Linked DNA regions of Coturnix japonica. The protein of the gene in region 4 purifies or fractionates together with the protein of the main gene of each other region. This does not show direct contact. Links are inferred from orthologs where the notes say so. Each region holds a gene or a part of one and is shown on either strand. Other genes may lie near its edges.

What was found.
Region 1: the proteins of EIF4E (region 4) and ANGEL1 purify together in Homo sapiens (affinity purification with mass spectrometry; 3 studies listed by BioGRID and IntAct, counting the BioPlex papers as one, with this or other methods). This does not show direct contact. The link is inferred for Coturnix japonica from reciprocal best matches to the Homo sapiens genes EIF4E and ANGEL1.
Region 2: the proteins of EIF4E (region 4) and HHEX purify together in Homo sapiens (affinity purification with western blotting; 3 studies listed by BioGRID and IntAct, with this or other methods). This does not show direct contact. The link is inferred for Coturnix japonica from reciprocal best matches to the Homo sapiens genes EIF4E and HHEX.
Region 3: the proteins of EIF4E (region 4) and EIF3F purify together in Homo sapiens (affinity purification with mass spectrometry; 3 studies listed by BioGRID and IntAct, with this or other methods). This does not show direct contact. The link is inferred for Coturnix japonica from reciprocal best matches to the Homo sapiens genes EIF4E and EIF3F.

The regions. Positions count from the first base shown.
Region 1 is NC_029520.1:35,258,676-35,263,276, forward strand, and holds part of ANGEL1 (protein angel homolog 1), read right to left. Parts: intron 4,029-4,601; coding exon 3,959-4,028; intron 3,154-3,958; coding exon 2,720-3,153; intron 2,062-2,719; coding exon 1,935-2,061; intron 1,144-1,934; coding exon 1,033-1,143; intron 320-1,032; coding exon 250-319; intron 1-249.
Region 2 is NC_029521.1:17,968,732-17,974,078, reverse strand, and holds the start of HHEX (hematopoietically-expressed homeobox protein HHEX), read left to right. Parts: upstream 1-1,714; 5' UTR 1,715-1,729; coding exon 1,730-2,111; intron 2,112-3,320; coding exon 3,321-3,499; intron 3,500-3,592; coding exon 3,593-3,643; intron 3,644-4,738; coding exon 4,739-4,960; 3' UTR 4,961-5,347. Other genes in the region: uncharacterized protein LOC116653610, read right to left, coding at 1,009-1,166. UniProt on the Homo sapiens protein: Recognizes the DNA sequence 5'-ATTAA-3'. Transcriptional repressor. Activator of WNT-mediated transcription in conjunction with CTNNB1.
Region 3 is NC_029521.1:13,754,439-13,759,519, forward strand, and holds the start of EIF3F (eukaryotic translation initiation factor 3 subunit F), read right to left. Parts: upstream 3,261-5,081; 5' UTR 3,239-3,260; coding exon 2,965-3,238; intron 2,855-2,964; coding exon 2,784-2,854; intron 2,708-2,783; coding exon 2,628-2,707; intron 1,688-2,627; coding exon 1,550-1,687; intron 489-1,549; coding exon 397-488; intron 185-396; coding exon 48-184; intron 1-47. UniProt on the Homo sapiens protein: Component of the eukaryotic translation initiation factor 3 (eIF-3) complex, which is required for several steps in the initiation of protein synthesis.
Region 4 is NC_029519.1:53,886,443-53,891,601, forward strand, and holds the start of EIF4E (eukaryotic translation initiation factor 4E), read right to left. Parts: upstream 3,193-5,159; 5' UTR 3,088-3,192; coding exon 3,070-3,087; intron 1-3,069. UniProt on the Homo sapiens protein: Acts in the cytoplasm to initiate and regulate protein synthesis and is required in the nucleus for export of a subset of mRNAs from the nucleus to the cytoplasm which promotes processes such as RNA capping, processing and splicing.

The DNA.
Region 1 (4,601 bases), on a different chromosome or scaffold from region 4:
TGTACACAGAAAGATAGTCGGAATTACTTAGCACACTTGCACATAGCAGACCATGAGCTTACCTCGTATCCAATACCCAGTCCTGTCTATGCCTTTCATTCTTGACCTCATCAACCCAATTCTACCAGAATATCACCTAGTTGCTCAGATCTGGGTGGACCCTCACAATTATTTCAGTCTTTATTTCAAGCTGATTTTCAAAGCTGCAGAAAGTTAAACATCAGTGCCACAGAAGGTGCATCAAATTACCTTGGGATGAACGTCTGGAGATCAGGGTCATTCACTGGAGCAGTGTGCTTGGGCCAGTATGGAGGGGGGTCTGCAAAGGAGTAGAAAAGATTCCAGACAGATGTACACAGATACTGGAACAGGCTGCTTGTTCCAAGTCTGAAAAACTTCTCCTGAGACAAAAGTAAGTCCTTTTGCCCACAGAGAACAGATAGCTTCCAGCCAAAGCCATGTCAAAGAAAAACATTCAAAGGAAACCCCAGCTAAGACTAACAGGAGCATTCTGAGAGCACTATAGCCATATTCTGTCCAAATAAGGACATGTCTTTAAAGTATTTTATACTATCAAAGCCCAGGCTAGTTCAACCTATACTCTTGCAGAAAGTTCATTTGCCTTAGCCTACAGCTTATACAAAGGGTATAACTTTAAAAAGGCAGAATAGAAACGGAGAGATTAGAACCAGTTATGGAACAAAGCATGGGGTGAGGTACTGTCTACTGGGTATCAGCATCCAGAGACATCAATGTCGCAGCCATCGTGATGTTATGATCTTAAGGTTTGTTCTCCTGCAACAATAATCTTAAATCGGCCTTCAGAAGAGTCTGAAACCCAGCATGCCTCAAGAAACACTGTCAGTGCTGCAGTAAGACTATGCTCTGATCTCTCATGGAATCCATTAATAATCACACAGCCACAGAAAGCTATCCTTCTGACTTCCCTTTTTGTACGAGGTATTACCTCCAACAGTTTTTCATCACTATACAGCTGGGAGAGTCGTGAGCTCAAAAACTACCCCTTAATACCTGGTTTAGCATCTGTCACACCTTCCAAGAAGACCAGCTCTGGTGGTCGTTCACAGGCAACATCACAAAACTGGAACTGGAGCAGGAAGTCCCGGCTGTACTTACGTCGGCCTGCAGACAGAAATACAATTTAAGACGATAAAACATCTGTAGCAAAGTCACATTTACAGCAAGTCTAATACCAAGAACCCTTACACCATGAGAACAGGAATCACTTAATGACCTAAACACAGCAGGAACTGTGCTCTGTTCTATTCCTTTAGCCAATGCATCCATCATGGTCAGTGCCTGATGAGACAAATTAAGAACGTTCCCGCTGAAGCACTGTAAGTGTAAGAGATTTTTAAGCAGATCAGTGTGCTCCCAACATAAGGAAACTCAAGTCTGCCTAAAAAGAAAGAACAGCGCTGCAAATCAGTTTGAATACAAATTTTATGTTCAGACTTCCAACAAAAACTATTTAGTGTGCCTCCTTTTTTAGAATCTGCTTTAGAAACAGTAAAGGACAATTACTGTTTTAAAGTGGCCCCCTGGCACTTTCTAATACTGGTATTCAATCACTACCCAAAATTGCTCTTACAAACACCTGCAGTTGAAAGCTATGGATACCAAACACTGTTTATAACTGCACAAGAGCTTAAGTCTGGGAATATAAAAGCTGTGTAGAGCAATGGTTACCTGGAATTCTCTGCTGCTGGCTAGAGAAATATGACTGCAGATACTGGGCTACAGGATTCCAGAAAAACTGAATTTAATTCAAATACCAAGGAAAAGGATATAAGCATAGAATTTGTTGCTGACTGCATCATATGACGCATGCATTGGCTACTCTGGGAGACAGCAAGGTCTACAGACTCTGAATCCATAGCAAGCTCATACGCTCAGTGCACACTAGAGCTCACCCTTTTTCTTTGGCTGGCACACAGAAACATATTGGCAATTGTCTGTTACACCCAGTGAGCTCGGCCACAGCGGGGACAGCAGTTTCCGACAATGCAGCTGTTGGGAAAGGTCTTCCTGACCAGACACCTGCAAGGAGGCAAGAATCAGGAGAGGAAAATGTTAGCAACACACAGCAGAACTTCTGCATGATATAGACAGTGTATGTATACACACTCACCAAGAACAAAACAGGAAAGTGCCCACACAGTGGCAGTGCAGTGGGACACGGATTCAATTAACTAGAAGTCACCATACCAAACATACTTTGTGGACATATGTTATTGAATTGATAATTTTGCTCGAAAGCCGAAGACATAAATAAGCATGGATATAAACTAATAGGTAGCCACTTGAAGAGCCCAGCATAGGTAACCATTTCATGGGCAAAACTGGTTTCATATCAAACACCTACAAAAATTTCAGGTTGCCTTGGTGGAGTTCTGCTCCCCTACACTTCCAGTCACCCAGCAACAAAAACTCCACAACAAGGGAAAACCAGGATGTGGAATGAAGTAACTGTTATCACTGGTCTGGCTCAAAAGAAACAAAAAAAAAGCAGTGTTGGAAGCAACGTGTACACATTTGTCTGCTTCTTTCCTCAGCACTGCTGGAGGCACTGGGGATGAGTCCTGAATAATTAAGTTTAATACTGCGACTTTTTATTTTAAGAGGAAGAATACAGCCATGCTTTTATCAGCAGCAAGCAGTAAAGAGCCACCCAAGCCCAGTCCTGCCCGGCACCTACCTTCCAGGCTGGCAATCCCTGGTAGAAAAGTTCACCATTCCGGATGAATGTGTAAAGCGGAGAGTCAGGTACAGAGTTCAGGTCGCCACACAAGATGACAGGATAGTACTGACCTTCAGCAGTTTTTGCAATCTTGTCAATCTCTGCTAGGAGCAAGGCCATCTGCGCAAGTTTGATATCTCCCCGACGGGGATTGAACAACACGTGTGTGTTGGCGATGCACAAAGGACTGACTGCCTTCAGATCAAGACCCTCTGGGAGCAGGGGCTGCAGCAGAAGCACCAAACCCACATTATCCCGATTGAGGACATCTAGGCCAGGCCGGAAATACTCGATGGGGCTGACGGTGATCAGCTGGAATCTGCTTTGCTTATAGCACACTGCGCAGCCATCAGTCTTCCTCCCAGTCCTCCGTTTATAGAAGCAAGCAAAGCCTGAAGAGAAACCATCACTCATTAAAAAGCTACTGGCTGCTACCTCAGGATCTCTTTCCATTCAAGTTCAGCAAGTAAGTATAGTAGACTTGTAGAAGTCTGCTATGCTAACAGTAGCCAGTAGCATACTAACAGTACCCTGTACAGAAGGATTACTTATCCAACCCCTATGCATTCCTATTGTGTTAATTTTCAGCCTGCTTTCTATAACAGATCTAGGCTCTAAAGAAAAAAAGTATATATATAAAATCAGTCATCATCTGCCAGTAAGCAACCCTACTTGTAAAGCACTGGTTGCTTAGTAACATAACACTTTACATCCCTTATCAGCATTCCTTAAGGCCTCAGCTCCCTCTAGCAATAAGCAGTGCTGGGGCACATAAGACTCACTGCTTGGGAAGCATGGACTCCAACCTTTCTTCCTTCAGGTGCAATGCTTTCTACCATACAGTTACGCCTAGTTATATACAGTTACTCTTAATAATTCTAACATACAGTTGTAATGCTCTGGGTGCAGCATTATACTCAATTCTGTCTCAGTAATCACTGCCTATAATTCATAACCATGTCTTTTCTCTGTTCTAGAAGGACAGGGAGAGATTTATTACTCTGATCTCTCAAACTGAAAAGTCAGTTGCAAACGAAAGGGTAAAAGTCTAGGCAGGTGGTTCAGAAGTAAGGCCAGCAGCTCAAATAAAAAGGAAGAAAAGTTCTTTCAAGACTGAATGCTTTAAAGACATTAAGTGGGAAGCACTGGTCAGCCAGTACCATGAGCTGGAAATACAGAGATAAAAGCAGGACATACCCATCTTCGCGAGCGTTGGTTCTAGCTGCTCCCTGTAATGGTTGTCTTGCACCTCCTGCAGACACAGAACCTGGAAGGAAGTCAGAGACCTCACTCGCTCCTACAGTATTTGCCAGTTACCTTGTTTCAGGGAAGGAAGGAAGTGCAAAAGTATACTCGCATACTAACCCTGCAACAGAAAGGCCATGATTGCAATTCTGTCCTGTAATTCCCATCTAGAGAGTGATAACTTTCTGGGTCACATTAGTTTATCACTCAGTCATTCAGCGATGAGGCAAAAGTTCCTTCAACACGCAAAGACAGCTCAAAGAATAGAGAAAGTTCTGAAGTCCTCTCTTATGTGAGCCCCATCTCCTGTGCTGCCATATAAACCTTCCCCCAAGAAACATATGTCATGGTTTTGTAATTTTCACTCTTCTTCCTCCACATCAGCTGTTTATGAAGTTAACCTGTTAGCAAAGTATTGCTACATGCTACAAGAACACACTCAAGACAAAATAGGCAGCAAAACAAAAATGCACACACAAGGCCTCATAGCCTCAGAGGAATCAGCACTCAGCCAGCAAGTAGGCAGCATCTTCCTACTGCTTTCCTCAACCTTAAAAAAAGGAAGGGAAAAAACCTGCTGCAATGCAATTAGATC
Region 2 (5,347 bases), on a different chromosome or scaffold from region 4:
AAAATAATTAAAATCTCATGTATTTTTATTGGTTTGAGTATCCAGCAGAGTGAAAATATTGAAACTCCGAGCCCCCTTGCATTAAAAAGTCACAACTGCTCTATTTTATTGGTTCTGACTGTGTGAAAAAAATTATAAGGACAACATTGAAAAAATCCGGGTTTTAGAGCCCCGAATGGCCGTAAAAACAATAAAATCAACTATAAAACCTGCACTAGTGATATTAAAAAATTATGTAGTTCAATAAATGTGACATTTTCATGAATGCGATTTAATAGTCTCCGGGCCGGGAGGAGGAAGGCGAAGGGGTAACAATTGGATCGGAGCGGGGCGGTGCTGCGGGGCCGCGAAATTAAGTGCTTCATTTTCCTTGTTGGGGATTATGCAGTGGGAGTGGAATGTAATAACTGCGCCATTAAACCTTCCCTTTAACAAGGCCTGTTGCAGGTATAAAAGTCAGAAAAGAATAATCTCTTCCTCTATTTATTTGTTTTCAAATAATGCAGCAAAACGAGGATTTTTGCCTTTTTTTTTTTTTTTTTTTTGGCTTAAATTTGTCCACAGCGTTGGGAAGCACAGACCGTAACGCCCCGCGGAGGGCAGCGGGTCAGCGCCTTCTGCGCCCCCATTAAGTGCTCCGAGCTGCAAATCCAACACTTCCAGCCCAACCATGAGCTAAGCAACCCCCTTGGACGGAGCAATGCCTCGGAGACCGGGAGCGGAGAGAAAAAATAATCAGAACTGTCAGCCCGCTTGACGTGTACCTGATATTTACAAGACACAAGACCGCGCTTTAAAGGTGAGTTTTGGCATTTGTTAACAACATAAAGAAAAAAATCCAACCTCCTGATATTATTAAAAATACATATATTTCCATTTCCACAACACCCTTTCGTCTCGTTCCCAGTCTCTTACTTATTAAGAACGTCGTGGGTTTGGGGGGAAAAAAAAAAAAAAAAAAAAAAAAATATATATATATGTGTGTGTGTGTGTGTATAAAAGCAGCACCTGCTGTTCCTTAGCAGCTCTCTGCGCTGGCTGTCACCACGCGGAGGGAGGAGGACACCTGCTGCCGCCCTGCTCCCACGTCGGGCGCTCCCCTGGCCGGCGGGGACGGTTCTGCGGGGTTTGGAGCTGCCGAAGGAGGGCGAGCGGCCGCCTCGCATCGCCTCCCTCCCTCCGGAGCGCCAGGAGCCGCTCCCAGCGGCGCGTCCGTCCTGTCCGGGGCTCCGCCGCCGCTACCTCTCATTCAGCGGCAGTAGGTGCCCGAGGGGTACCGCGTCCGCGGGCCCGCACAACCCCGTCCGTCCCCTCTGTTACCCAGAGCCGGACCGGGCTGCGGGGCGGGGTGGAGGGGATCGCCCCTCGGGACGCCCGAAATCCGGGCCCGGTGCCTGAGGAACGCGCCCCCTCGCCCGCCCCCCCAGGTGCCCGCTCGGTGCCATCGGGACCCGGTTCGCGTTGATTGGCGCCGCGGGGAGTCCGCTCGGGGGAGGCGGGGGGGAGCTTTCGCCGGCGGGGGTGGTTTCCCCCTTCCCTGGCCGGGCTCATTGGCTAGACGGAGCCGCGGCAGGAAGGGGACAGAGACCACGCGGGCTCCGCCCCGCGCCGATAGAAACCTATCGGAGGGGAACCCGAGCCCGGAGAAACCCGCCGCGGCGGTGGCAGCAGCCGGCGGCCGCGCTCGGGGCCGCTCTCCGAGGGGCGGCCGGGCCGCGGGGGCCGGGCCATGCAGTACCAGGCGCCGGGCGCGGCTCCGGCGGCGGCCCTGGGCGTCGGCGTCCCGCTGTACGCGCCCACGCCGCTGCTGCAGCCCGCGCACCCCACGCCCTTCTACATCGAGGACATCCTGGGCCGCGGCCCCGCCGCCGCTCCGGCCCCCCACTCCCTGCCCGCCCCGCCGCCGCCGACGCTGCCGTCGCCCAACTCTTCCTTCACCAGCCTGGTGGCCCCGTACCGGACCCCCGTCTACGAGCCGACCCCCATCCACCCGGCCTTCTCCCACCACCTCGCCGCCACCTACGGCACCGGCGCTTACGCCGGGCCCCTTTACTCCTTTCCTCGCGCCGTCGGCGACTACACGCACGCACTGATCCGCCAGGACTCCCTGGGTAAGCCGCGGTCCCCTCGCCCCGCCCGTCCCGTCCCGTTCCGTCTCGTTCCGTCCCGTGCCGCCGTCGGGGAAGCGGCGGAGCTCAGCCCCCGGCCCCCTCGGCCCCCGCCCGCTTTACAGTAAATTCAGGGCAGCTCCGCGTTGGGAGTGAGACCGCAGTGCGCGGCCGCGGTGACTCAGATTTGTTTTCCTTCAACCGAGCGCCTCTCGGAGTGTCCTTAGTAATGTCGCGTGTGGTTTTGGTGGGGAGTTTTAATTGTGCCGAGAGATCGCGCGACAGATCGCGGCCTTTTCCTGCCGACGGGTCCCAGTGCCGCCCGCACCGGCCCCGCTCCGGCTCCGCGGCTCGAGGGCGGGGGTCGGGGGGGGCCGTTCTGTCCCGGTGCGGGGCCCGCGCTGCCCTCAGTGATTGCAAAACGAGCCCTGAGTCACCGCACCGCAGCAGCGAAGGAGCCTGACCCTTTCCGTTCATACAGGAAACCTTGAGCTCTCGATAGGAGTAAATCTGGTTTCAGAAGCTGTTAAGTGTTTTCCTGGCCGCCCGGAGCAGGCTCTTCCCCGGGAGTCGTGCACGGCGCTGATTACTTTATCGACATCCTCAATACAGACAAATTCAGGAAACACTCGGCTTCTGATAGCCGGGATCCGTTTTTCTGATATTGTTCATTTCCTCTGTGTGGGATGTGCCTTTATGACAGCTAAAATAACCAGTTGCTTCCTATTTTTTTGAGGCTGTTTTGCACCAGAATTACTAAAGCCTGACGCAAGCAAAAATCTTGAAAAACAATGCAGCGAATTTCAAAGGCTGCGGGCGGCGGACGGGGGGGACGGCAGCGATACCTCGGCCACGGCCAACGACCCCGGGCCGGGACCGACTCCCGGGGGCGCCCCGCGGGCACTGGGCTGTAGCGCAGCGCGGGGTCCGGGCCGTCCCGGTGGGAGCTGCTGCGGAGGGGACACGCGGCAGTGAAGGAGCAGAAGGAAGCGAAGGGCTTTTTTTTTTTTTTTTGCTTTTTTCTCTACCCTGTATTTTCTTTGCGCGATAGACCAACAGGAAACACATTGACGGAAACGCTGCCAGAGCCCGTGGAGCGGCTCTGAGCACATTCTGCTCCGCGGGGCCGAGAAATCGGAGAGAAAGTTGGGGCCGGGAGCGGGGCTGGGGGCCGGGACTGGCGGTGACGGCGCTGCCCCTTTCTCCCCGAAGGAAAGCCGCTGCTATGGAGCCCCTTCATCCAGCGGCCGCTGCATAAGAGGAAGGGCGGGCAGGTGCGCTTCTCTAACGAGCAGACCATCGAGCTGGAGAAGAAGTTCGAGACCCAGAAATACCTCTCCCCACCCGAGAGGAAGCGCCTGGCCAAGCTGCTGCAGCTCAGCGAGCGCCAGGTGAGGCCCTGCCCCGCTCACCGCGGCTGGGGGGGCGGGGGGGGTCCCTGCGGCCCCACCGGTGTTACTCTATAGCTTTCTCTCTCGCCGTAGGTCAAAACGTGGTTCCAGAACCGCAGAGCCAAATGGAGGCGCCTGAAGCAGGTACGGGATGGTTCCGTTTCTATAGCAATACGGGTTTAATGGCGTTATCTCGGCGCGGCGCCCGGTGCGGGATGTGTGCAGCACTCATCCGGCACTGTTTAACCTCTTCACCTTGATTAAAACGGCAAACACCGCGCCGCGGCCCGACGGGACTCGCTCGGGCAGCACTAATGCTAAAAGCTCCTAATGCGGCTCCGGGTCAATGCCGGGCGGCCCTCACACCGCGCCCGTTGCAACTCGGCGCTAATTGTTTTGTAAACCCATATGTTGTTTAGCCAATTAGCGCTGGGGAGATAAGCGAGCGACGGTGAACCGCTCCGACGGTGGGGTCGGAGGGGACGGTCACGGCGCTTTCAGAGACTCCCCCACCCCAACCCCCCGTCGGGGGCAGCTCAGGGAGATCCACGGTGCTTTACGGGCGGTCCCGATGCGGGGCGCTGCGCCGTTCCTCCGCCTTATGGACTGTGCAGAAGGGCAGAGCTCTGTTTTTATGGCCTAGCTCAGACGGTGCCCTCGGCTCAAACGTTTGGGAAAAAATCCCAGTCGTGGCCTGGTTCGGGCACGCAGAATATTTGTTCTGCGGCTTTGTCTAATGTCTACTGCACCTCGGCTCAGATCCCCTTTCTCCTTCACTCGGTGCTGGTCTGTGGCAAAGTCCATCGGCGGTGCTAGCAGCTCCCGGCCCCAAAGCCGCCCCCTCCATGCTGTGACCCCATACACGTCCCCACACACCGTTCAGCAGTGCCACGCATCTCCACCCACTTCCCCCAATGTGGGCATGCGGGCTCTTGCTCTCGGCAATGGACTTCGGTTCGATTTATTTTTTAATAGCGTGTTTCCATGTTGAGGTTAATCCTTAGAGCTTAATTACATTTTTCTTTCCGTTAACTTTTGAGCCACTGATGAATTCAGTCTCCTTCCTTTTGCCACGGGGATTGCCGTGTAATTGGGGAGAGGTCTAGGCCGTGTCTGGAGCCTCGCTCCAAACATTTGCTTTGCTAAAGAGCAGTCAGCCCGTAGGGCTCAGCCCTTTCTTCACAGAACCCCGCGGTGTTTTCCTGTAGCTCCGTACCCAGCGTCTTTCTGTCCCCGCAGGAGAACCCCCAGGCCACCAAAAAGGAGGAGGTGGAAGGCACCGACGATCACGGCGAACCGCGGCCGGAGGGCAGCCCCAGCCCCGCGAGGGGGGGCGAGGCCGAGCCGCAGGACAGCCCCTCGGCTGCCTCGCAGGAGGACCCCGAGTCCGACGTCTCCGATGACTCCGACCAGGAGGTGGACATCGAGGGCGACAAAGGCTTCCACAGTGCCACACGCTGACAGCCCGCAGGCACGGAGCCGAACTCGGCTTGCGCTGTCCCAGGACTGCGGGAAGGAGGATTTTATGACTGGAGAGGACTTTCACCATTCTGCTGAAAGACAAAGAAGCACAAACGGACTCGTTCTGTAATAATCTGAGAAAGAAAAGATGTATGTTCTGCAAACAGTCCGTTTTTTGGCAGATCTCTGATTTGATTATAGGGACTGATCGGTGGTTTGTATTTACTGCGTAAGATCTGTGTGTACATTGATTGGTGCTCTCACCGGGACACAGCGCTGTGCCCATCTCCAGCTGCTGGAGCCCCCCTCCCCCAGCTCATGTGGTGGGGGAACGCAGAGGGCAGGACTGTGCCTTTATGTGTGCAAATGAATGTGCTTTAAATGAAT
Region 3 (5,081 bases), on a different chromosome or scaffold from region 4:
AATCTTATGTCAAACTTATCTTCAGTCTCATATAAAGTCTGCCTTACCAGTACATCCTCTGCATACTGTAGCACCATACCCAGGGTGTCCTGAATCCTGGCTGAGGCTGACCCCACCTGCTGTAAGTCACTGGACAAGCCGATCACTCGATTAGGGCTAAAGCAGGTCTTCATGATGAGATCCACTGAAAGCAAAACCAGGATCACTGAGAAATCCGACTGACACAGAAAGCAGCTTAAAACTTTAACTTGTTCAATACTCTCTAGGATAGCATCAGGTTCAGTGAGACAGTTTAATTCCCCCCCAGAGTGGTAATTTTACCAGGCTTAATAACCAAACAGCATTTGAACAGTATCACGACAATGGTTAGACCCAAAATAGGAATAAAGCATTCACCTCCTATCCGCTCTGTGTCGTAATAAACATACTTCACTGTCAGTGGTGTGAACATCACGCCCATAGTTTTACCAGGGACTCCCATTGGGGCACTAGGAAAAACACATAAATTCAGCATGGACACATCTGAAAGGAAATAATTTTCCATCTCAATGATCTTTATTAGCACTACAGTGTGAACACGAATAGGTTACTCACTGTCAGTAAAATCAGCAATATTAATACCATGTATAACCAAGGACAGGAAATCAATACAGGTATATTATTAACTGCAAATTTTCATCCAAAAATATTCCTAGCTGGTCTGACATTTATCAGTACAAGCGCATGATGAGTTCAGTACTGTCTTCTTGGTGAAGCTGACATGTCTGAGGGATAAAATGCCATTTGAAGAGACCTAGGCAGACTCAAGCAGTGTGCCCAGGTAAACCTCATGAGGTTTGATAAATCCAAGTGCACCTGGGTCGTGATAACCCCTGCTATCAGTATAACCTGGGGGATGTAAGGATGGAGCACAGCCCTGCCAAAAAGGACCTGGGGGAACTCATGGATGTTAAGCTGGACACAAGCCAGCAACATGCTTTGCAGCCCAGAGAGCCAACTGTATCCTGAAACGTGGCCAGCGGGGAGTGGGATGTGATCTTGCCCCTCTGCTCTGGTGAGGCCTCACCTGGAGTACTGCATCCAGATGCAGAGTCCTCAGCACAGGAGAAACATGGACCTATTAGAGTGCATCCAGAGGAGGGCCACAAATAGGATCCCAGGGATGAAACAACTCTGCTACGTGGACAGGCTGAGAGCTGGGGCTGTGTAGCCTGGAGAATGGTGTGAGGTGACCTGAGTGTGTCCTTTCAATATCTAAAGGGGAAGCTATATGAAGGAAGGGGGGCAGACTCTTCAGCAGAGTCTGTTGTGATAGGACAAGGGGAAATGGTTTCAAACTAAAAGAGGGGAGATTTACATTGGACAAAAAGAGAACATTTTTAAAATAGGGGTGGTGAGGCACTGGCACAGGTTGCCCAGACATGTGGTGGATGCCCCATTCCCGTAGGCATTCGAGGCTGGATAGGGCTCTAAGCAACACTATCAAGCTGTAGGTGCCATCCTGATACAATATCTGTTAGTAATTCAGACAGTTCCTGTCCCCATGTACCTGACATAGGCTTTAATGCTCATGCGTGAGTTCTGGAGACTTGTGTCCACAGTGAGGTGGATTGGATTGTGTGCTTCCCGGCTGTAGTACTCGTGGATCAGGACAGAATGTTCTGTGATGTCGTGACCTGTTGCGTACCTTGGAAAAAGCAAATGTTGAAAGACCACTCTTCTAATGTTCAAATGCCCAGTATTTGTTGGTATTTAACAGGTCTGTATTCTAAAACCCTGATGTCCAAGCACTGAGTTGCAGACACATAGTAAAGACTAGTATTATAACTAGGTCATGTGTAGTTTTATGGCTCTCCTAGAATTATAGGCTGAGTGCACACATGCCCAAAACATGCACAGGGTCAGTGTTGTATTACCATCAAAAAGAGTCAGTTTTTTGTCACTATGCTCTGGGCCAAATCTTTATTTCCTTATAAATCAAAGCATGCCAAGCAAATTTGGACCAGCAAAGTAAATCTTAAACAAATTAAACACCCCTGTGCAGGAGGCAGGGCTTGTTCATCTCGCTCCTTCAATTGCTCCGCAATTAACTTCTTGCATGCACAGGAAAGCGACTGCCATGAGAACTGCACCTTGCTGTGCCATGATGGGTTGTTGAGGAAGCCAAGAGTTCTGCGCTTGTAGGATTTTGTTCCATAGAAAGGGGCCAGAGAGGATGTCAATAGACAAACGAGGCCAGTTATCCGTGCACAAACGAGTTCTTTTCCTGTAACACCCCATCACAGGTATTTCCACCTTTACTCAGAGAACACCCTTGTGTTCAGGCTAACATCACCGTTTCCCACCAGCCCTTTGGTACTTTTGTGTTCTCCCTCCAGCTAGTTACCTTACAGACTGTATCACTGCATTCTAATAGATCCATGAGCATTCCCAACCCTCCTGTCTGTGACAGCTCTTCTAGACTAACCAAAAACGCTCTAAGTCTGCGACAGCATCCTTTCCTATCCTGAGTGATGGCACGACTTCACTGCTGCTTCTGCTTTCCAGCCTCTGACAGCAATGACAGATCTGAGGTATCTGAGGGACCTGCACAACTGCCCGCACTTCCCTGTGGCCATAGAACTCACCAGCCCAGGATGATCTCACTGGGAGACACCTTTTTGTGCAGCTCGTACATGTTTTTGGCAAACTCCATATCAACAGCCACCTGGGGAAGGGGACAGAGCCGAGTCAGCGGGTGCAGGAGCCCCGATGGCACATCCCCCATAGCCCCCACACCGTACCTCATCCTCGGACTCGTTGTGCGGGACGGAGAAGCAGTTGGTGACCTCCACCGAGTGCTTGTCCACGGTGCCTGCGGGACGACAGCGGTTAGTGGGGCGGTATTGGTCTTAGTGGGGCGGTATCAGTGGGGCGGTATCAGTGGGGCGGTATCAGTGGGGGCTGCGGCATTGCGGCTCTTACCCAGCAGGGTCCCGATGACCCGCGCCGCGCCCTCGTTGCGCCGCTCGAAGCTGTCCACGATGGAGGCCAGCACCACCGGGTGCAGCCGCACCACGCGGCCGCCGGGGAAAGGACCCGAGAGCGCGGCGGACAGCGGGGCGGAGGGCGGCGGTGCCGCCGGGGCTGAGGGCGGAGGGGGCGCGGCCGCCGTGGGTGTAGTGGGAGCAGCCGTGGGGCTGGGAGCCGGGGCGGCAGCGGGAGGGACCGGAGCCACAGCGGGAGCAGGAGCCGCCATTTTGCGAAGAGAAAGGGGAGAGACCTCGGCCACGACAATTGGCTGATCGGAACGCCTGTCACATACGCCACTTCCGTGAGCATCCGCCCCCTCATGGGCTGGCGCAGCGCTGAGCTCCTGTCTGCCAAAGGCAGAGCTGTGCTACCTGTGTGACGTGGTGTAGGAGCCTGCTTTGGCAGGGGGTTGGACTCGATGATCTCTAGAGGTCCCTTCCAACCCCTACAATTCTGTGATTCTCTGGTGTGATTTCTTTTTACAGCCCTTACACGTCACTGAGCCATTACTTTTGCATGTGCTGTTATGTCGGCTGCATCTTCACAGCTGATATATAATTTCTATATCAGTAGCTATCGTCTCATCTTGCTTGTGCAATGGGAATAAACATAATTTCTTGTTGAGAGGCGAAAAACCCCTTAGAGTACATTAAAAATATTGCATTGAATTACAGGTAAAATAAAATATGCATTTCATGTAGATAAGCATAATTAGGAAAAAGAATAGCAAGACTGATTTTCTGAATCTGTTGGTATCAAAGAATGGAAGTCTCTTTTCCTGCTTGGAACATCAGGTCTGTGTCTCCAGCTCTCACTGTGTTCATGGAACTCCCTCTCTGCCATTTCTCATGGTCATATTGCCAATGCTTTGGCTGGCTGTTGGTTATCTGTGTTTTTCAGGACTGTATGGTAAGTGTTGAGTCACGGCCTGAACCACTGATTGAACAGCTGGGGAAAGGACTGGTCAGCCCTGGGAGCACAGGTGAAGGCAATTCAGCTGTGTGCCTGGAGGGGATGCAGCCTGCCTGCACCTCTCTTAGACCTTATTTAAGGGCTGACTGCTGCTAGTAAAGGGTTTTTTCCTGGAGATCTCTCCTTAGTGAAGCTTTATGCTGCAAACCTAGAATTTTCTGATACAGGTGAGCAATCTTCTCTTACTTTATAGCACCTTTCTACTGTGTTGGTCCTTTTATCATTGCATCTCTTTTGTAATGCTTTTTCTATCATACTGGTCCATCCAATTGCTACTAGGATTTCTCTGGGGCTTTAGTATGAAGTAGTGATGGTCAGTGGCTTCTGGGTTTTAAATTAAAACTAAGTGGTAGTTTCCTTATTCAGCCTCAATGGAGTGTTTTGGATACTCCTCTGCTTCCTGTTCACTTGTGGTTGCTAGTAGATGAACGGCTATTGTTGGCAGCCTAATTTCTAGTATAATGCATTGGTTGATATGTCTTCATATTAGCAGAAGGAATTCAAACCGTTCCTCACTTTTTTTGCAATGTTTTATGGGGCTACTTTAATTATTAGAGATCCTGTTTGACATGGGGAGCTGCTGATGTTAAAGCTAGAATGGAAATCCCAATCCAGCCCCCAGCCGCTCGAGCAGATGCAGCCCCGCACGTCCCCGCCAGGTGGCGGCGCGGCCCCACGCAGAGCTCCCTGCCCTTTGTTCTTATAGAACAATTTTCCAACTTTGCTTCTCATGGATGAGTGTCCTTTCCTCAGTGTTCTCTGGGTTGACATCAGCACTTCCCATCCACTGGAGCCCAGACCAGAATTACATCCAGCCTCAGCAGACCTCTGGGACTGGAGCTGTTTGTGTCTGCCAGCACAAACATTTGCTTTGGTGGCTTGGGATGGAACCTGCGTGCAGAAGGGAAGTGACTAGTTTGGGAAATCCATATTTCATCTAAATAGTGTAAGGAACCTGCCTAGAGAGAGAATGGCAAAAATGCTGCTATTTTGTGCACTCCAGGGCTCTTATTTGTGAACTCTGATGTGGTTTTTATGCTGTCAGAGTCAGATGGTGTTGACTGTTCACAGCTCTGCATTCCATTTATTTATTTATT
Region 4 (5,159 bases):
ATTAGCCCGAAATAAGTTTGAAATTCTGTATGCACTGTGAAATGTATCTGTTCTTAAACTGCTTTCAGAAAGATGTTTATCTCAGTTACAAGATGTCCAACGCATTCCTTCTCTTAAACTAATACAGGAGGCTTTGTATTACCAGAAATGTAATCTACAGTGAGGAAGTCAACTTGTGCTAGGAGCTCTCAATTATTTAACAGCACACAAGATACATTTATGTTTACTGTACAATACGTGAGCACTTTACAGATTTCAACCAGAGCTGGACAAGGCTATAGCTGAAATACCTAGTAATAGGAGTAAATCTAAAGCTGAACCTGGCCTGCACTGAATGTACACACTAGCTCTCTGTCATTGATACCTCTCAGCACACCTTGTATTTGAGGAGCTATTTTGAACTTCCAAGAACATCAAGACCCTATATCACTGTTTATATCCCTTCAGGAGTAATATCATTTCATTCAAAGAAAGATCAGCTCAGTTTTGAGTCTGATTTATTGACTATTCTGCCCAAACAACTGTTTCTCAGGCTGTATGACTTGAGTTTACTCTTGAAATGTGAAGTTAGATTAAGAACTACATTTGATCAAGTGCAAAAGTAGCTGTCACAAAACAAACCAAAGATCATAACATTTGTTTCCAATCCGAGCAATAAGGGACCAACTGCTCCTACACAAATTACTTCCACACAACTTATCCCACTCACATGTTTGTTCCTCCATGGTTACATTTTAAAGTCACCTTTGGTAAACTACTGTTTACTAAAGCATTACTATTTGTTTTGTTGTTGGCTTTGTGGACTTTTGCACAGTGTCATCTGATCACATCTAAGGTAAAATTTAAAGCAGTGGAAGTATAAGCCACAGTACAACAGACTTACACATATATAATCCTGCTTTCCTTACCAGTTTCCATTGGAGACTCCGCAGTATCTCCACCTCAAGTCTCAATACTCCTATACAGTTCCAAAAAGTTTTTTCAGCCTCTTAACATGATATAAAACATTTCTAGAACTTATATGTTACTGAGAATGCGCGTCACCAATTTTTAGCAAGACCCTGCTAAACCTCAGACAAGATTTTGAAGGTCTACAGGAAAAGAGGCTCCCTATGATCACAAGGTAATCAAATCCCTAACATCCCCATAGAATTAATTTGTTCTGTGGAATATTATGCAGTATTTATGCAACACCAAGCATCTAAGATCTCTGTTACTATGTGGGCTTGACTCAATGCTTAGGTAGAAGTGTGAGACACCTGGAAGAATAATAAACAAAAGTTTAACTATTTAAAGACATTTAAAATTAAGCAAGCATAGCTGATGTTTCCTGAAGGAAAGCATACTTCATTGCAAGTAGACCCTTTGGTGGCAATGCTGCTTGAACAGTCCTAAGTGTTGGTACATCCTCCGCCCTCAATGGGTCAGCACAACTGCTTATCATTACACAACAAGCTGGATCTGGGGAACCAATCTCTTTGGGAAATGGCGTGACAAAAGCCATTGTTTCTATCTGGCTCGGTAAGGACCCAGATCAAGTTCAGTATGCGATCACACACTTGTGCAATGGAGAGCAATTCAGAGATGGTCATGCTTTTGCCAGTATCACAGCTAAGGAAGTTACAAAGCTGTGCTCTTTGCGTAGCTCCCATTCCAGAGGCCATCAATATGACACACTGTTTATCCCAACACCTGACAAGCTCAGCAACCATTCCAAAGCAGTGAGCTGACACAAAGCTCTCACCTTTGGAAACACGTCTATGGGACACCAAACCCAGTGCTCAATACTGCGGCTGGTGACCGTGGGCAGAGTACTGCAGCTCACTGTCCTAACAACTGCTGCCCTGCCTTCCCAGAACTGCCAGGAAATGTACAGATAGTGACCAGCACCATTGCTTCTTGTAAATAGAGGCAGTTATTTCATTCGTAAAAGAAAATTGGGAGAGCCAACATCCTTCATAAAAGGGTACAGGACCATCTTCCTTACACAGAATCACAGAACGACCCGGGTTGGAAGGGACCTCAAGGATCATGTAGTTCCAACCCCCTGCCTGGCAGGGCCACCAAACATACACATTTACTAGATCAGGTTGCCCAGGGCCCCATTCAACCTGGTCTTGAACACCTCCAAGGACGGGGCATCCACAACCTCCCTGGGCAGCCTGTTCCAGGGCCTCACCACTCTCCTAGTGAACCTAAATCTTCTCTCTTTTATATTAAAACCATTTCCCCTAGTCCTGCTATTCCTTACAAAGTATAATTCATCTTTATTCAAAAACAGCGAAGTGGTTGTTGGATTTAAACACCAAGTGCTACAAAGGAGGCACCGGCTGCTCAGTGTCGGTAAGCCGCGGCCACAAAGAGCCCTTCCTTCCCTTCCTTCAGCCTCTCCTCGTCGCCCTACAGCCAGGCGGTCACCCGGGGCCTACGGGGCGCATGGGAGCAGAGCAGCGGCAGGGCTGGGCCGGCTCCGGCTGCTCCAGTTCGTCGGAGAAACGCAGGCAAGAACGGCGCCTGTGAGAGCGCGGTACCACGAGCACACGTAGGGGAAAAAAAATGCCGTTTTTAGTTGTGAACAAGTCCCCAGCAAAGCTTCCATCCGAGTTTAGTGCGGGCTGCGGGGCGGGAAGGCGCCGTCCCGGGAAGGACGGACGTGCCGCCCGCTCCGCCCTGCGCCGCTCTCACCCGTTAGCGCCGCCGTTAGCGGCGGGCCGCGCCGGCCCGGCAACATGGCCACCCCCGCGCGCCACACGCGGCGCCGCCGGCCGCCTCCTCGTCCTCGTCCTGTTCCCAATCCGGCCGCTGCCGCCGCTCACCTCCCGTTGGCCCCCGCCCGCCCCGGGCCCGGCACAAAGGCCAACGCCGCGCCCTCCCCTCCCCCCGGCGCCGTGCGTGCGTGCGTGCGCTCCGCGCCGGCCCCGCCGCCCTGCCCGCCCCGACCCGGCACCGCGAGGCACGGCCCGCAACGCCGGGGAACGGCGGAGAGAACAGCGGAGTGCGGCGGGAGGGAAGGAGCGGGCGGAGGGGAGAGAGCGAGCGGCGTGCGGCCAGCGGGAAGCGGGCACTCACCGGTTCCACGGTCGCCATCTTAGCTCGGTGTGGCCGCAGCAGCCGCGGGAGGGGAAGGGGCGGGGGAGGGAGAAGGGAAAAAAGGAAAGGGAAAAAAAACGGCCGCCAACACGGTTGGCCGCGAGGCGGTCACGTGGGCACCGCGGCCGTTTGGGAAGGGGAGGGGCGGGCGCTGCCGGGAGCTGTAGTGCAACGCGCGGGGCACGACGGGACGCAGCGGGAACGCGGGGTGGACGGCAGGGGACATCTGGTGGAATAGTGCGGGAACGGGGCGGGGTGAGGACGGGAGATCGGAACAAGGGGCTCTAACGGGATACAGGGGCGGTATTGCTTGTTATAGGCCTGCAAAGGGAGAAGCGCTCTCCACCCAGAGAATCAGGCAGGTTGGAGCTTAATGTGGTGCTGAATGTTTAGAGGTGGTGAGTAAATAAACGTGAGGCCCCTGGGTTTGTTCAGCCCGGAGGGGAAGCACGAGGGGAGGACTCAAGGCTGCATACAGCTGCCACGGGTCTGCGCTCTGTGGCAATGACGGGAGCTGGGAACAGCGCGGAGCTGGGTCAGCGGAGGGACGGCTGAGGGTGAGGGACTGGGTCTGACCAGAGACCTTTCCTTGGTCTGGAAGTGTCTGAAACTAGAGGCAGGCTTACATTAAACATCTGGATGCCCATGGCATCCCCTCAGCCTGGAGGAGGCTCAGGGGAGACCTTATAGCTCTCTATAACTTCCTGAAGGGAGGTTGTAGTGAGCTGGGGGTTGGCCTCTTCTCTCGTGTAATCAGTGATAGAACTAGAGGGAATGGTTTTAAGCTGCGCCAGGGGAGATTCAGGCTGGACATTAGGAAGTATTACTTCTCAGAAAGGGTGGTCAGGCATTGGAATGCACTGCCCAGGGAGGTGGTGGAGTCACCGGCCATGGGAGTGTTCAAGAAATGTATTGATATTGTGTTGATGAATATGATTTAGCTGGGAAGTATTGGTAATGGTTGGACTAGATGATCTTCTAGGTCTTTTCCAACCTCGATAATTCTGTGATTCTGTTATTCATAACAACTCTGGAGTTGGTTTACTGGCAAGCTATGCTTCTAGGAGACCAGTCATGTTTTATCCTATTTTGCTCAGATGGTGATATCTTTAAAGGCAGAATCCCAAGAGGTGGGGTCCTCTTAAAGAGAGAAGATGAAGGTGAAAGGGCTGTCATTTAAAAAACAAAAGGCTTTACTACTTGATGTTTTGCTCCAGTGCTTTAGCTGACTTTGTCCTGCTGCGAGTTAGAAGCGTACATCTAACCACAATACGGGGGTTACAGCAGCTGTATTTTCCCACCCCTCACCCCTTGATTAAATAAATTACAAGTCCTGAGAAATTTATCCCAGCCAAGATGAAAGAAAACTACTGCTTTGCTGTGTGCAAATAGCAGGGTGCGGGGAATCGAGCACAAAATGAGACCTGCCACTGCTCAGATTGTTAATGGTTTCACGGGAGATGATAAGAAGTGAAGGCTGCAGCACCCCTCTTTCACCAGAATGGGCCAGAAATTAAGTGGGGCTATTTTGAGAAATAATATCCTCCCGCAGTAGAGCGGAGCCCAGATTTTCAACTGCTATTCGTGATCATAAAATGCCGCCTGCTCAGATGAACAATAAAAACCCAGCAGTACGAGAGGGATAATAGTATGTTTGAGCCTTATGTTGGTTCCTTGGAATAAGGCCGTAGGAGTGCAGAGAGAGCCTTCCTAGAGAGGCATTTCATTTTCCTTCTGAAATGCTCCCTTCACAGAGCCCGGTGTAGGCTCTGCACACACCCATTCTGCTTTACCTGCTATTTGTTAGCAAGCAGGGGATTTTCTGGCTTCCAGCGTAGGTTCATTCATGCACATTCACGTAGCATCCCTTTTGTCAGGGAGACTTAGGAGGACTGCTGTTTGCAATCACAGTGATTAGAATGCTTTCCAGCCCCCTAGAAATCTACCTTTTAAAGCTCTTCCCCTTGAAATCACTTTGCAGAGCCAGGCCAATATTGCTCATAAAAGAAAGGAAGTACGATGTTACAGTCTTGAGGGAAGGGTAAGCCAGGAAGGTGACAGAGGGACTG